Linked DNA regions of Drosophila melanogaster. The protein of the gene in region 2 interacts with the protein of the main gene of each other region in a pairwise test. Each region holds a gene or a part of one and is shown on either strand. Other genes may lie near its edges.

Region 1 (10,661 bases), 9.3 Mb from region 2:
ATGGATTTTTAATATCATTTGTGTCAGCGTAAATCGTATTTAAAGAAATCAGAGGAAAGAGAACCGAAACAAAAAATCTGAAACGATTTATTGACCTGAAGTCAAGTACGCGGCGAGAAAGAGATGAGATGTACGAATATATATATATATATATACATATAGTCGTTGGATCTTTGTAATCCACAGGGCCTCCACTTGATGGTTCGATCTGGATGGGTATGGGTATGGGTATGGGAATGAGGATAGAGGATAGAGGACGGAGAATGGTAATGGTAATCGTAATGGCAATGGGATGGAGAATGAGAACCTGGACGACAAAGTGTGAAAAATGATTGATCGATTTCGTCTCGGATCTCGGACCTCGATTACGTTTCGATTTTGGTGTTCGTGCACAAAGGGTGCCGTGCTATTCCCGTGTTAATAAAGAACTTTGTGCCCGATTCCGATTCAGTATCTTGTTCTTGACTTTAGCCCGGTGACAGTGGATCTGTGGGACTCTGAAGTCCCTGAATTTTGATTCCAGCGGCGACAGCAACGACAATCGACATAATAAGATAGCAATTATTTATCAAATCTGGCAGGGGGCCGAAATAAATCGAAAGAAACGAGCATTTATTTCTCCAAATTTTTGATTAATGAAACCATTTCGCTACACAATAGAAGAGAAAGGAAAAACGAAAGTGTTGACTAGCACTGTCCAACATGAAAAAAAAAAAAATGGGGGGGCGACATCGAGATGACCCCAGAGAAGATATTTCCATTCGTTCCAAACAATATTAAAAAAAAAACCTTCGAGGATTGACTTTTCACCTTCGAACTCACATCAATCAATTCACAAAGGCCAGTTGGCGGCGCCGAATTGAAAAGTGACACTCAGCAATGGGGAATCGATTATAAAGGCACTCCACACATTAATATTATCAGATATTATTCTCAAATCAAGCAATTTGAGGACACCTTGTTGAATAGAATCGAGGCAGCATAAAGGTTGCTGCACTTGTCACTTAAATTGATGGTACATTCTGTAAAAACTTCGTTGAAAAATGATTTTCACAACACATCTAATTATAATCATTAATTTTCACATCACATTTTAAAGTGGAATTATGGTGCTTTTAAGTTTCAGATAAATCTGTTTATCTGAAAGAATTATAGTTTGGGTTTGGAGGATTTATTCCCACCTTCAGATTAAAAATTGAAGTAAACATAGTTTTTAGGAAAACAACAGTGAATAAATTGTGTTATTTATATATTTAGAACAATTAATGTTTCTGCAAAGGTACTTGCGATTACGCGATTACGAAAGCTAAATAAGAAACAACTAATTGAATGAGTGATGCATTGTATTTGAGAAGCCTTAAAGCTTAAAGCTTTAGGTTAACAAGAAACTGATTTGGGTTTGGTTTATAAGTAGTAAGTAAACTTACTTGAATGAATTTTAGTTAGAACCTTATATACCATTTAAACGTATGGTATGATATGTAATACTTAAAGATATTGAATGTTAAGAGAGTGCTTTTTATTAAGTCCTGACCATTTCCTGGAAGTCCAACATTGATGCTAACGCCTTGTGGGTATGCAACATAATAATGCGGTCCTTATTGTTATATTTTTTTATGGTGATTAATGCAAATAGGATTTGTTCCGTACGGTTTTTTTTCGCTTTAAGAACTTTTCTCGGACACTTGTGTGGATAAATTGAAGAACAAATGTGGCCAAATATGTATGTGTGCTTTTGTATCCTTATGTGGGACATTCCGGCGTCTAGCAAATACATACATATACTGTGTGGGAGTGTGGGTGAGAATTATTTTAATTCGGCAATGAAAAGGACAATGAAACGACAAGGAGCTGTGTATATGTGTGTAGGTGCTGCTATCACATAAGGCACTTACATACCGAAGCTGTGCAATTTACATAAGTTATACATGCATACATATGTACATACATATATAGTGGTGGTGGGGGCGGTCATGGTGATAGGATCGTTGAGGGACTGCGGTAGGGGTGTGGGGTGGAAAGAGGAAGCAGCAGCGTCGCTTCTTTGTCACCAGTGCTCGAATTCCATTGGTGCTGTGTGGCGACAGGGAAAAAAAATCGAAGCGAATCGCCCCCATTGCCAAAGTGTCACCCATACACAGATACACCTATACAGCGACATTCGCACCCACACACACACCCATACAGATGCACAGCGCAATCGCAAAACAAAGAGAGCCGCTCAACGCGGCCATTCGTGCGGGTGCGATAGGGACGGCGAGAGGGCACAGCACCGAGTGGACAAGACATCAAATGACAAAAATTTCAAAAGAACCTTCGTGAAGAGAAGCAGAGAGGAGAAGCCCAAGACAAAAAGTGACGTCGCAGCAGCGACAAATTACGTACTGTGTACTGTATACTGTGGCCATTGCCATTTCACTCTCGTTGCTCTCTCCCTCTTGCGCTCTTGTGCTCCGGCTCCCTCTCTCTCGCTCTGTCACACTATAGTGCCCGGCCATGTACTCACACCATCGAACCCAAGGCACCCATACCAGCAAGCGGCGAGAGCGAGCGCTGCGTTCTCTTTGGCTGGCGGCAGTGCGTGTGAATGTGTGTGCCGCACTGACCACACACACACACGTCGCATGTCGCATGTGTCAACCCAACGAAACGGTTTCGTCCACTCAGACGACAGTGTGCGAGCGGGCGCGAGATAGCCGCACGAGCGTGCCAAGCCGCTCGCACGCACGGGACGGCGCTCTTTCGCGGCGTGAGTAAGAGAGTGGTGGCTACTCTTGCCTCGCACTGCTTTGCCGACTGGGCGAGCGGGATGGACTCAAGTGCGGGCGGATCTCTCGCTCGCACTCGGGCGAGTGCCTAATGACCCATCGACGACAATGTGACGAAGGCCAATTCCAATAGCGCGCTCTCTCACACTCTTCCAGGTGCAAGAGCGAAAGAGTGAAAGAGAGAGGGCGCAAGAGCGAGCGGGAGAGCGAGCGAGAGAGAGCCAAATGTCACCCACCCCGCGTGTGCGTGTGTGTTTGTGTCAGTCAGTCGGTGTGTCGGTGTCGGTGTCGCCGCATTTGTCGCTCGCTCTCTGCCCGCTGCGCTGCCGGCGTCGCAGTCGCCGCACAAATTCGTTGGTGAAACGACAAATCGACAATCAGTGTCACCCACGACATTCGAAGAAGTGGATCTCTGCTGTCCCTGCTCTCCGCACATCCGCATCTTCGTCGCTACTTCGTTTGCCACTCCGCATATTCACATATTCGCATCCGCATATTCGCGTCCAGTCCACTCTTCTCTCTGCCGCGCGACCCAGTGCATAAGTGTGCGTGCATACGAGCGTGTGTGTGTGTGTGTGTGTGTCATCGTCAACTGTGAACGACCAACTTTTTTAATATCTCAGCAAAATGCAACAAAAATAAATGCACCACGGGCATGAAAACAACAACAGCACACAGCTCCAACAGTGAATTCTACCATCTGAATTTATCAACTTTTTACGCAACAAAATATCAAAACAAAACAAAGCGAAAGAAACCCTTTTTTTAAATCTCAAACCTGTGACAAAGTGAGAAAATCTAAAACAAAAAAAAAAAACAGCAATAAACCAAAATACAATAAAATATCTACAACTCGCTGCTAAATTAGCAAAAGGTATGTATAGTTCGAGTAAAGTTGATTTGCCGTCGGCACTTCAAGCAAAGAATTCAAATTCAAGTGAAGTCATAGTGAATATTTTTCGAGATCAGAGGAGTATTTTCTAAAAAGAAATCCTGGTGCCATAAAAATATTACCCATTCAAGAATTGTGTTATGAAATAGGAACGCAACAATAGGATTCTTTTCGTGGTAAATAATGATCTTGTTAGGATCACATAGGCTGCTAGTGGCATTAATATGGTATTACCATTTTCATGGGATCTCTGGTGATGTGCTGCCATCTTTTACCTCTAGTCTATGGATTTTCTTATAATATCCTGACTTTGCTAAATTGAAAACAGCTTGTTAATCCAATGTTCGTAAACCCATTTTTGTCTATTTGCTGCGTGAGCTTCGACGACAAAAAAGTGATGTCTTCGGGGGAAACGCCAAATGTCAAAGTTGTAATTAAGATTTTTGTCTGCGGTTTTCGAGCTCTGTTTTTCTCGTTGATGTCCGGACCATCGGCGTTGTCATCTTTGGACCATCGCATGCCCCTTGCATGCCCCTTGTGCCCATCGACTCCTGCTTATTATAATGTACTACTATTAACAGCAACTACAACAGCAATTATAGCCGCCGGATTGCTCACATCTCGGCATCTTCCATCCCCAACTGCCACACACCGTACTCCACAGATCTTGGATCTACCATCTACCATCTAAAGCGTCTCCCAACTCTCGGAATTCTTCAATCTTGTCGTTTCTTGTCTTGGGTACTTTCAACATTTTGCTGCCTTTGCCACTGCCGATAATCAAAAAACGTTTCGTCCGAGAGCCATCAAAAGTTGTGATTGGTTTTTCCCCTACCCCCAGCTGCCCAACATCACCCCCCCTTTCACCATCGGTGGCTTAAGACATTTTAAGCGTTTGACAAAAATAATTACCCATGTACATGCATACTCACCTCGATCTGTCGACCGCGTGCACTGAGAGAAAATAGAGAGGTTGTTATTGTTTTCCGTTGCGCCTTATTGTGCTATGCAAGATTGTTATGATGCTTAGATCTTGAATTGTTTTATATTGAAATGTTAAAAGATCTATATTTTTTTTTGAGTTGAATCTCTTTTTTAAAAGATTCTTGGAAGATAAAAAGGTATAGGCACCTTCAACTCATATGATATAGTTAACTTATAATGATCTAGAAAATTATTGCAACATCTTTGGGTCATTCTCTATTTCTTGAATGGTAACAATATTTTCGGCACCTAGTCAGAAACTGATTACTTCCAAGTACCTGACAATTAAGTTTTTTTTCCCCCCTTTTTGCTCTTCTTTTTTTTTTCTTGCGCTTTCGCATTTTCGCCGTGTGTACATACACTCATTTTAATGCTATTGTTGTCATCGTTACTAATGAGCCCCATAAAAAGCGACCATCTCCTGGCTTCCTGCAACTGTGTGCGTGTTACCTGTATGCCTGTATGTGTGAGCCATAGTCGTATGTGGTTTTCGGCTTAACTTTTTAGCTGGCATTGGGCAAGCGAATGCGAATGTGTGTTCGACTTTTGAGATCGAATCCAGATAGCCAGCCACGACATCGCACACACGATCATCACCATCGTCATCCGCATCTCACCGCAATTGTCCCCAGTTTTGTGACGCCCCTGGGTTCGGTTCACTTCTTTTTTTTTTTTTTTACCCCTGATTTGTTTCTGTTTTTAACGTCAAGTCGACTGCTCACAATTACGGTAGCGAACGGAGTCCACAATAAAAAAAATGAGCTAGCTCTGGCTTTAGCTTTGCTTTTGGTTTTGGTTTTGGCTTTAACTCCGACCGATCGGATCCAAAGTCGAAGTCCGACACTGATCGCCGCATGTTGTCGTCGCCGTCGACGTTGTCAGAGGCGATTTTAATGGCCAGAAGAACCGAAAAAGCTGTAAAAGATTTCGCTCGAGTAAATGAGGCAATGTGCACTTACACAAGTAATGCGCCAGTGTTAGTGTACAGTGGGCCTTGGCTACGACAGAAATTGGGTGCATAGGAACCAAAATGATAAAGATTAAACAAATGATGTAGCGTCAGTCACTGGGATACCCCTTTTGATTATTTCAAAATACAAAACATGGCAACTCTAGTTGTTCTACTGTACTATCGGCTCGACATGAAAGATATGCCGCCATCGGTGTCGCCGATATAAATGTTCGCTTGTCTGAGTTATTGTAAGCAGTGTGTGTCTTACCAATAAATCTAGCTGGATTTGCACAAAGTTGGCTAAGCTCCTTGGAAGCTTTCACTTGGGAATTTCGGTAATACACTTGAGATATGACTTTAGAGCGCTTTCCAATGCTATAGATTAGTGCTTTTGGCGTGGCAATGCAGTCATATGTACATATACATTCGCCTCAGATATTAATCTATATCTTAAGGATATCGAATATTAATTAATGAAAAAGCCATTTGAACAGCAATGGGGTTTTTTTTTTTTTGAAGCACACAGCTGGCAGCCTTAAAGACTTTCTTTTAAATCTGGATTTCAGAATGTATCTTACAGCAATGACCAACTAATCGCTGTAATCCACTGATTAATTGAGACCCCCCCCCAAAATAAAGTTTTCTCCCCTTGACTTATTCGACCGTCTTGACTTTTCGCACTCTAATTGCGCATCAATGACCACTGCCCAATGTCCCAGGTCCAGGAGTCAATGTCCATGTCCCCGGCACCACAGACCATTCAACAATTTGCCCTGCTGACTCTCGGCGATAAGGTTGATTCCAGTTTCCCAGTTGTAGTTGCGCAATCGGATTTGCCCCGCAACCCTGGCAATAGTTTTCGATTAGGACTGACCGATTCACTGACTTCCTGATTGACACTCCCTGATTGACACTCCTAACGATTCGTTTCTGTTTCTTGTTTGTTTTCCAGGCACCACCAGTCATCGCCATCGCCATCGCCAGCGCGACCATAGAAACAAAATCCACCACAGACGACATGGAGCACATAATGAATCCGTTCATGTCACCGGCTTATCTGCTGGGCCATGGCCCACATTCCCACCAGCATGTGCACTCCCATCTACCGTCACACCCGCAGCCAAATGCCGCCTCTCCGGCCAGCTCACCCGGCGGATCCAGTGGCTCTGGATCGGGATCGGCAGCGGGATCGGGCACTGGATCAGGTTCATCCTTAAAGCCTCGTCGCTGGGGCTCACCGCCCATCAATCTGGCCGGTCAGTTTATCAATCCAGCCACGGGAAAGAAACGAGTACAGTGCTCCATTTGCTTCAAGACCTTCTGCGACAAGGGCGCCCTTAAGATTCACTTTTCGGCCGTGCATCTTCGCGAGATGCACAAGTGCACGGTGGAGGGCTGCAATATGGTGTTCAGTTCGAGGCGTTCGAGGAATCGCCATAGCGCCAATCCGAATCCCAAACTCCATTCGCCACACATCCGGCGCAAGATCTCGCCGCACGATGGCCGCACTGCCCAGCAGTTTCCGGTTTTCTCGCCCGGAACAGCCGCAGCAGCGGCCGCTGTCGCCGGACGACTTCCGGTTGCCTTTCCCGGACTTCTGCCACCGCCGCCGCCGCATCATGGTCACCATCCGTACGTCATGTTCGGCGGACAGGCGGGTCTACATGGCTTGGGCCTGCTTTCCACCGGCTGTCAGGATCCCGATTCTGGATCGGTGGACAATGAACAGGATGCTGATCCCGAAGATGACAACGACTTTGTGTACGTGGACATGCAGGCCAATAGCTCTAGTCCGGCGGCCTCCAGCGAGGATCAGGAGGAACACGAACGGGATAATGAGCAGGATGAGGAGATGCACTGCAGCTTGAGCCTGGCCAGCAGTAGTAGCATTGCCGCCGATGAGGAGCGGGCAGCTGACCAGCCATTGGATTTCAGCCTTCACAAGCGTCGCAAGTCGGAGCAGGATCGGGAACAGGAGCAGGAGCAGGAGCAGGAACGGGAGCGGGAGGCGGAAAAGGAGCAGGAACAGGATGTGGAATCCGACAAGGAGCACGAACCCGAACAGGAGCATGAGCTGGAGCGTGAGAAGCGCTCGCCCAGCGATGCCTTCTCCATGGATCAGTTGCTGGGCAAGCGTAAGCGTCACGACAGCACCGCCTCCAGCTCCGCCTGTTCCACGGCAGCCGCCTCCTCCGCCTCTAGTTCCTCCGCCAGCGCTAGCGCCAATCCACCACAGACGAGCATCAAAATGGATCTGGACCCGGATAGCGACAGTGCCTACATGACCAGCCGGCGGCAAATGCTCCCACTGCCCGTTCTGGACCTCGAGGAGCATCATCATCTGCGCCTGCTGCAGACCCAGATGTTTGCCGCCGCAGCGGCTGCCGCTGCCACCAGCCAGGCACCGCCCACCGCCTTCCTGCCGGCGGGATCACCCGTGGATCTGGCCAAGGACTCGCCGCCCATGTGGAGTCTCCTCTCCGAAATGTACCGCTCCATGCTGCTGAAGACACAGCACCAGCAATACAACCACCATCACCAGCTGCAGCAGCAACACCAGCAGGAGCAGCATCATCATCTGACCCTGAGCCACCACCATCAGGAGCAGCACCATCATCTGGGTCATCACCACATGGGTCACCACCACCATCATCACCATCAGCACCACCAACAGCAGCCGCAACAGCAATCGCCGGCGGCCACGAATGCGCCGATTTCCGTCTAATGTCCAGACTGCTGATCCATGGCGATGATTTCTAGATGATTTCCTTAGTCAAATTTGTTTTTATATTTTTTTTTTGTGTGTGAATCGTATTTTAAGAAGAATACATTTGGTGGCGTGCTGCATTACACAAAAAGGTGGAGCTTCAGGTGGTGGGGCTGTGCCACAGCTTGACCATTAAATGGCTGGCACTCCTCCTCAGGCGCGACCCCGCAACACCCGCAACCAATGCCACTAAGTACCCCACCCCCCCCTCTGAAAACTGGAATTGCTCCGAAACTAAGCTTTTTCTGCTCGTACATGTGTTATATGGATTTTTTTTTTTTTTGGAAACCTATGTATAATGTATAATGTATACTGTAGTGCGACATCTAAGTGTATAGTATTCAATCCGTTCCTCAGTGTGAATGTGCAGATGCATGAATGAGAGTGTGTGTGTGTGTGTGTGTGGGATCCCAGGATCGGATCCAAAAAAAAAAAAAAATTAAAGTCTGTCATCTGAAAAGCGGGCTGGGCAGTGCAGAAGCGGGGATTTTGGAACGGGTTCCGTTTCCCTGCCCCCTCTATCGGTGTACAACGAAGTATTGATATTTATAACGAAATATATATTATGAATGGCATATATTAAATAGTTTTAAGACAATTTTTTTCGTAGCCAATAAAACTATATTGTATTGTATAACTTGGATGTACTAACACAGCAAGCAAATTCTATTGAAACATATCCCCCCCGTGTGTTAAAAAAATAAAAAACCAGAAGAGATTCAATTCAACCAATCCCTAAAGAAAAAAAATAAACCCAAAAAAAAAAAAACAAAATTATAAAAATCCATCGCAAAGGTTGATAGATCGTAGGTGAACGAAAATGTTATTGCTATCGCAAACGAAAATTCCTCCCGACGATTGTGTACTGTATTACAACAAGATTTTAAGTTTTTTATTAACAAATAAACAACGGCAAAATTGAAGAAACATGTAATCAAAGATGCTTTTTTTTATTGGTTCTCTGGGCGGATACATAATTTTCATGTTTTCACTATGAAAATAGAGCATATGTACTTTATGTGAATAATATAGATGAGTCATCGATTTTATGCGGATTTTGTTTTTCCATTCGAAAGATATAAAGTCCAGTGGAAAATATCTACAAAAAATTGCTATTTTCGTTAAATGCCATTTAATTCAGATATATTACTGCCCACCTTAAATCATTTAGTAATGTTTTTACGTAAATAGACCGATGTGCGTAACTCATTTGGATCACAATCACAAGTCAAGCTAGCTCTTCTCGCCTGCGAAAAGCACACGTACATATTTGCTTGTCTCAACGAATCCAGATTCAAATGTATATAGTATTGGTCTGATGAGATCTATAATGGGCAACGCCCTCGAAATGGTCTGTCCCTCCCGTTTGCACAAATGAGTATCCGAAATGCCGACGGACACTCACAAGAAGGCGTGACATGCGGCATAAATTGGTTTTCGGCTCCGCAACTATAGCATAGCATACCATACCGAAACCATACTTTACGGTTCCGAACCATACCATACCATACCAAACCAAACCATACCATGCCATACCATACCATGCCATACCATACCATATTCCTATACTCCATCCAATACTTGTACATATCGTACTCCCCCCGCGAATCGTCGTGATGAATGACCAACTATTGGTCGCAGCGGCAACCACATCATCATCATCATTATGGATAGGCATTTGAGGCCACTTATGGACGGATTACACACTCAGGCGCACGCACACCAATATAGATACAAATATATGTACATATATGCAGATACAGATACATAGTCTGTAGTGTAAGTGGCCAAATAGAAAGACCCTAAGTAGACGGCTGTAGGAATCTCACATTCTCGTCCGCCACTCGCACATATTTACGATTCTATGAAACACGCAACGATATTAACACCGCTTCCACAATATTCTCTGCTTTATTTTCCCAATCACTTCGGACACGGCTTACTTTAAAGCGACTAATTACTGGCCTGGTCAAAATGGGGTCGAGTGTAGCTCTATAATGGCCAAAGAATGCTTTTTGAGATCAAAGAACACATATGTACATACATATTGTACGCCTTGTTTCAATATTGTCCCATTCGATTTTTACATACCAAATAAATCGGAATGCAATCGTAAAAATTGTAGTTCAGTCGTTCGTTATGCAAAAAACTCCACGATTGTTTGTATTTTACGACTCCCCCGACTTTTAGTTGTACCATTATTCACAAACTATTATTCAGAACGCTTAAGATATCATTGCTGTCGGTGTGCCCACAAAATCCGAGCCCAAAATTCCACATTCATGTGGAGAATGGTGC
Region 2 (7,618 bases):
ACCCTTAGAGCGACTTAGTAAAAATGTGTGTATTTTATATTTATAATATATAAACAACAACAGCGAAAAAATAGAGTATAAAGTTTTAGGTTTTTTTTTTCTTGATATTGGCAAAAACGAATTACAACAAAATTTGAAAAACACAATTTCTGCGCATTTATATTCGAGATTTTAAATAAAATCAACGTACTAAATGTAATTAATATAAATAGTCATAAGGAAAGGCAAAATCAAATATAGAATCGAAATGATCAATTTTTTTTTTTTGTTAAATTTTTAATTTTTTTTTTTGGAATTTTCAAAGGATAGTAGTGGGGGGAGGGCGGTGTGGGAAGGAAAAGATTTAAAACAATCGTTCCACTTACATGTGGTTGGCATTTTGACCTGCCGCCGAGCGGACGAGCGGAGGTGGGGCATTCCCGCCGCCACCACTATGGTTGTTCACCGAGGACATGGAGATCGCGGGGTTGTTGTAGGAATACGGCTGCCGGCTGCTGCCGCTCATCATCAGGTTGTTCATGTGCTCCCGATAGCTTCCCACGCGATTGGCGTTCGCATGCGTTTGCTGCGCCTAAAAAAAAAAAGATAGGAAGGCAGAAGAGAATTAGGAAAAAACTCGCTATGAAGAACACTTGAAAAAGGGTTGACATTTTTGAAAAACTAAACTAAAGTAAACTAACTCAATGGAACTACATGTTTACATCCTTTTTGCTCTTGATTTGTTAATTTAATATAACCCACTAGTTAATCGTTGTGATGACCTACTTTACCATGTGTGCAATTATGGCGAATTGTTGTGCATAATTAACAATTATGAATGCAAAGAAGGCGGAAGTTATTGGCACTGCAAATTAGTTCAGCAACAACAATCGATTAATAAATTGCGACTATTAGACGCTTAAAGACTTTTTGTGCTATGTGAACGATTTCGTAGGCGATTAGAACTACGTTTTTAGGTCTCCGATTTGATAAGATTGCCATTACGCATAGCGAGTATCTAGACGGCTTGTATTTCTTTTTTTTTTTTGTTTACGTTTTATGTGTTAGAGGCCGATTTTAATTTTGAAGGTCACAACAAATTCCTCAAGTTCTAGATATATTAAGAATATTTCAAACACACATGAATTTTAATTAATTATAAATTTATGAATTTATAATTAATTTATGGTGAAATGTTTGTAAAACAAACATCTTTCTTTCGTGAGAAAGGAAGTTTACTTTATAGAAGTTCGACTGTAGTGGCAGCAACAACAGCAGCAACATCAACAGGTTGTGGCCAGCACACACACACACACACACACACTCATATGCACATCCCAAAGAGGGAAGAGAGGGCACCAGTGGGGGGAAAGAGATGGGGATGGGCATAGAGGGAGATGGAGCCACTCTCCTATGCACACTATACTGGTGACCTAGTTTTTGATGCCGTCGAACGCTGCTGCTGCGCTGTTGCCAAACTGCGAAAAAATCAGCTAGAAAAAAAAAGCACGCTAACACAAACAGCGATTTATATATGTGTACGATGTACATATGTACTGCCTAGCATATGTAAGTTTGTGTATCATTACAAGCAAGGCCAACAAAACACGGCCATGCACTCTCTAGAGAAATCCCTCCGTACGCACACATATACATCCAAAATACCCCCAATACATCCCATTTCCACCTTTTTCGAACTGGTCTCCACCAAAGTCGGGCCTGGATTTTCTATATCAATGGTAGTCAAATAACTAGTTTTAAATGCCATTCTAAGCAGTTCATTTTTGAACTTTATAATATACTATACCATTAAAATAGAAGTAATTTAACATTGGGTGTGACATTACTAATGTATGGAGTGGTAGACAATTTGTTAAACCAATTAAGTACCGGAAATGTCATTCATTTCGATTTTGAGCCGAAGGATTCTAGTATAAAATAGTAGCTCTTAGTGATAAATAAGTATCCATTTACAATTTTACGAAATAAAATAAAATGCCAATTCACAAATGAGCTGGATTAATGTATATCACAAACATTGCATAAACACCGACTCGCATTACTCTAAAGTAGGCTCGAATTTCTAGATAAGGCTTGAAAAACGATAATTCGGTTGAGTGTAAAGAATCTTGTATCTATAATATTGTTCAGTAGCTGGGGTATAATAAATGATACCATAGCAACGTTGATATTATATTCCAGATTACGATTGGGCATTACTTCTCAAACTTTGCTAATAGCTTTGATATCCCAAAGTTTGATAAACATTGTGCATTAATTGGAGGAAAACGTTAGCTAGCCTAGTGCTCAACTCACCATCATCTGGGCGTGGAGCTGCAGGTTTGTCTGTCCGGACATCCATCCGCTGCTGGCCAAAGCCTGGACGGTGGCCTGCGATAACATCCTGTTGTTGCCCTGCGACTGCTGGAGCATCGACGCCGCTGCCGCCGCCTGGGAATTGAAGGCCGCTACCGCGGCTGCCCCAAAACTATTTGCCGCATTCGCCACACCATTGGCGCCGGCGGCAGCTGCTGCTGCGGCGGCGCGTTGCTTCATCAGATGCTGTTGATGCGCCGTCGCCGCTGCTGCGGCGGCAGAGGCAGCGTGCTGTTGCTGAGATTTTGAGGTCACCTGTTGGCCACCAGCGGTGTTCGCGGAGGATGATGCGGCTGATGTGTTCTGGCCCATGTTGCCGCCGCTGGAGGAGGAAGGGCCGGACGATCCGGAAACGGAGGTGGTCACTTTTGGAGGCGGCGCCGAGGGTTGACGGGTCCAATTGACCGAGTTGTTGACATTGGCCCGATTGCCAATGAGCAGATTGGAGTCAACCACCTTGCTGGGCCAGTAGTCCTCGAATTCGGTGCCATTTGGGAAGTAGCTTTTGATGTCCGTCAGCGAAATCACGGCCACGTTCTCGCTGGAGAAGAGCTCATTGCGTATGCCCTGCACCTTGCAGCAGAACTTTAGATAAGCCAGGTCCCAGCCATTGAGCAGCTCCGCTTTGGTCTTTAGATTCTCGGTCTCGCCCTCAAAATAAAAGAGCGGCACAACCTGCTGATTGTTGCGCACAGTGTAGGGCACCACGGACTCCTTGTTGATGCGAATAAAGCCGCACTTCTCCGACGGCGTCTTGCTGCCGGAGACTAGTTTCCTATAGCAAATATCCAGGAACTGATAGAACTTGGATGCGTCACTGAGACGCACCACCAAATCCTTTTGGTTGAAGATGTCGCGACCGAACTCGCCGTCACAATGCTTATGATTAATCTCGATGAAGAGACGGGCCTCCGCATCGGTGATGTAGTAGCTGCGCACGCAGGTGCAGCTGGAGTAGATATCCGGATGCAGGCAGTTAAGGTATTTGCCCAGCAGTTTCAGTTCGATCATGCGCACGGAGCAGTACTTCTCCGATTGGCGATAGATGTACGGTATGGATACCTTGCCGAACTGAGCCCAGCCGAAGTGGCCTTGAATGGACTCCTCGTCGCAGGGTCCCGTGGAGGACTTCTTGTCCGAGCCGGAGTCGCTGACGGCTCCATTCGAGCGGCCATTGGAGGCCAAGGCGGGCACCACCTGCATGGTGCCGTTGGGTAGTTTCTGATGACGAGATAGGTAGTTCATGATATTGGTCTGGCCATTGCCATTTGTGATCGGCGGCTGCATGTTGCCACCGGCCGAGGATGCCGCAATGGCGCCCCCATTCGAGTGCTGCATGGCCGCTTGACGGGATGCCTGCTGGGCGGCCTGTTGCTTCTGCTGCTCCTTCATTTTGGCAGCTAGTTCGCGGATCTCGGCGTCATCGGGACGCTCCTGCTTGACGGGCGGTCCCAGGGGACCGCCCAAACTGTTGCCGTGGAGCGGTAGGCTCTGGCCATTGGCATCGATGACGCTAGTGATCTGCACATCCTCGCTGGCCATCGCTCCTCCGCACACTCTCGCTCTTTTGCTCTAGAATGCTGTCTTGCTCGCGCTCTATGTAATCTTGCGTTATCGTACTTTTCCAGACTTTTCGATATCCACACTTTTGGTTTGGTTTTATATTAGGAGCTGTATTGAAAAATTTACTTGTTAGGATGACAGTTCGATTGGTACTGCCAGCATTTCAATTTGATATGTTATTTGTGTATGTATTTATATATATGCTCATATATGTCAATATATATTTAACAAAGACTGCATTATGTCTTACTGATTTTTTTAATTATTCACACATCAAAATGAAATTCTTTTGGCAAGTGTATTTGTTATTTAAACAGAACTATAAAAGAAATAAACAGCCGGCTTGTTCGATCCTTCTCTTTCTGGCACACAAACGGTCACACTGACCGGCTGTCTCACACACACACACACACACACACACACGTGATAATTTTTTTAGATGTTTTCCTTTGCAAGTGTGCGTGTGTTAATGCGCGCACTTATTTTTGTTGTTTTTCGAGCTCATTTCAACATTTTGCACACAATGCTATTGCTGTTGTTGTTTTTGGCATATAAATTATACATTATGTATGCATGTGGTACACTTACACAAACAAACGCTAACTGCATTTTGGCAGTGTGGCAAAAAAAAAAACAAAACTATTTAATGCATTTGTTGTTATATTTAGTTGCTGCTTTCTCTCTCCTCGTTTGCTTTTGGTTTATTAAATTCCTTTTTGTTGTTTTTGCGACGACGCTCGTGGTGAAAAAAAAAAACAATTTGTTTGGTTCTCTTTTCTTTTGATATTCGCACTTTTTCGCTAGTTTGCTTTAGCGCTTGTTCCGCATTCGACGCCGACGCACGTCCGCCCGTCTTCGCAATACACAAACGAGTGTGATCGTTGTTACGAAAATTATTTCAACGAAGTCAACTGAAAAATGTGTACGGCACACACACAAACCTACAGCCGTGCGCTCACCCACACTGGCGCAGCGCGCCGGCAGCGACGCCTACTGCGGCAGCGGATGCAGAGCGCAAAAGAAAAACGGAAAACACGAAAGAGAAAAAAACAAACACCCGTAGCGCAGTCGGCGTCGCTGCAACGCTGCCACGAACATTTTGCCGAATTGTTGTTGCTGCTGTCCGTCTCCCTTTTGCGCCCCCACCCCCCTTCTTATGCATTTTCCTACTCTGCCATCGCTCTCTCTCACCCTATTCGGCTAGCCCCCTCCTCGACGAACGCCTGCTCTCTCTCTCTCCTTCCGCTCATCGACTAGCTCTAAGCTGCGACGCCGACGTCAACGTAGCTGCAGAGTTACAACCCACAGTGGTTAAGACATAAGCAACTTATGGAAATTAATTAAGGGATCTTAGCCAATTCAGTATGAAAGTAAAATTTTATAAAATAATACGAATTTATGGGATTACAAGTTTACCATTTGTTGAATATTTAACCTCACAATTAAGTTCTTTAAATACTCTACACATATGTATCTCGAATTTGAACTTTTTATTGTTAAACTTTCTCTCAAATTCGCATTATTTTTTAGTAACACCATCTGGGAATCAAGCAGATCAAAAAAGGCAAGCTTCTTTGTGGCTTACTCATATAAATGGTGTAAAAAATAATGCAAACTAGCTAAATTTACTTTAAAATTAGTGTTTCCTTGTTACATGTTTACTCTTTACATACAGTTGTACAAATTTATTTGTATATATTATTTCTCTATAAGAATATAATAATGCCATTTTCCCCTGGCATTTGAACCACGGTACAAGGAAAGCTTAAGCTATGCTATATACAAGACCCACACACACTGACACATGTTCACAGAGAGCTGGCTGGGTCACAGTATTGGTATTGGTTTTGGTATTGGTGGTGTGATGATGATGTTGTTGCTTTTGTGCGGGAGTGGGTGGGTGGGTGCTCTTTGTGGGCGAAGGCGTGGCGGGGCGGCTCTATTTTTGGCAAGCACCAAAAGCAAAAGCAAAGGCCCCTGCTTAGCATTCGATGGCCACCTCTCCTCGCTCTAGCCCTCTCCCTTTCCCACATGCCATCACTCTCCCCGTCCCTTTCGCACCGTCGAATGCAAGAAGTTTTCGGTATTCGCGCGCTCTGCGGCTTTCAAGACAGGCCCCGTTCCAGAAGGCAGAGAAAACCGGGAACGACCGAGCACGAACACGAACAAACGAATACACGAGTTCACGAACGGGCGCAGCTCCAAAAGGTCGCCCCGACTCTAAACATTTACCAAAAAAAAAAATTTAATTAGCCAGGTCCAAGAGTCCAAGTCAAATTCCATTGTGCCGCCATCATACGGGGCTAAAAAGTTAACTGCCAGTTAATAACGAGTCCCGCGAAGTACAGTCAGATCAAAACAGGTGTTATTTGGTCCCGAAAACTAAACGTACAGTTGCGCCAAAACACATTGTGATATGTATTTTACTTAATGCAATGTCCACTTCAATTTATTTAGAACCAACTGTAGCCTATTAAAGGTTCTACTTGTTTTCATTCAATCATATGCTTATGTGTGTAATAGGATTACACAATATAAACCGAAACGCAATTTATATATGAATGTACGTAAGTACACCAATCAGTTTTTAGGGTATTCAAAAGCCGAGTGTCAATGGAAGGCACTGCAGTTTATTGGTATCTCTCGGCTTTGGTTTCAGGTGTCTCCCGGGCTTTTTAGTTTGTACGGTACGAGACTCTCCAGTGCGTGGCTTTCTTTAATTCTTTCGTTCTACGGGCTCCCTGTTTCGTGGCATCTCTCTTGATTTTGAGTGGGGGTTTTGATTTTTGGTGTTTTGCTTTGCTAATTAGTCAGCTGTGCGTGAGTGTGTTTGGGTATTTCTTGTACTTTGTGTGGAAGATGTTTTTTGTTTTTTTTTTCTCTACGGCCATGTAAACCCCCTTCTAATAGTGCGGTATTCGTATTTAGTCATATGCTTAACTATGTACATAGATATATATGTATATACATATACATACATAAATCTATATGTACGAGGCTATGTGCAACGGTTAAAGTGTGCGAAATGTGCATCTGTAGTGGTGGGCATACGCATTCGACATCGTCAGTCGCCATCGATGCGAACGAAGAGTGTACGAGAGTGAGAGAGAGAGGGTGTAAGTGCGAGGGGTTGGGTAAGGGGAGAAAGAGGGAGACAGCGTGAGAAGCGAGCGTTACGAAAGGCCCCGTTTCGTGCGCGCTTTGCTATGTAAACACGACTAAACATGTGCCTGCATGTGTGCGTCTGTCTGCATGTATGAATCTAGGCGTACACATGTATGTATGTTTGCATGCGTGGATGTAGACCGTTCGTTTAACCATCAATGGGAAATATTGGATTGGGCGTTGGGTGGCTCAAAACGGGGGATTGGGGCGGTAGGCGGATGGTCGGCTCTGCCGTTTGCTATGATTTTGGCAAGCTTCACGATTGCGCAGGGAACAGAAAACCGATATTTGCTGCACAAAGAAGTAGAACTAGGAGGGCTTACCGAGCTTGATGATGTTTGTACATATATATGTACATATGTATGTATGTATATACATATGTATGGTGGCAATATACAAAAATACAAACGAACAAGAGATCTTACCGCTTAGAAACGGTTAAATTTTGCCAAAATTACGTTAGTAATATTGTTAATACTGCTGGATGTGTAAACACTTTTTAAACAGTCTTGGCTTTGACAGCGACTAATGGCTA

The links. Proteins that work in one complex are often made in the same cells at the same time.
Region 1: the proteins of CG43736 (region 2) and disco interact in a two-hybrid assay, tested with the Drosophila melanogaster proteins (one large-scale study listed by BioGRID).

What each region holds. Positions count from the first base shown.
Region 1 is NC_004354.4:16,209,232-16,219,892, reverse strand, and holds disco (disconnected), read left to right. Parts: upstream 1-3,142; 5' UTR 3,143-3,642; intron 3,643-6,548; 5' UTR 6,549-6,614; coding exon 6,615-8,321; 3' UTR 8,322-9,295; downstream 9,296-10,661. UniProt on the Drosophila melanogaster protein: Required for the establishment of stable connections between the larval optic nerves, the Bolwig's nerves, and their target cells in the brain during embryonic development.
Region 2 is NC_004354.4:6,865,669-6,873,286, reverse strand, and holds the start of CG43736 (uncharacterized protein), read right to left. Parts: upstream 5,061-7,618; 5' UTR 4,507-5,060; intron 4,027-4,506; 5' UTR 3,898-4,026; coding exon 2,296-3,897; intron 572-2,295; coding exon 366-571; intron 1-365.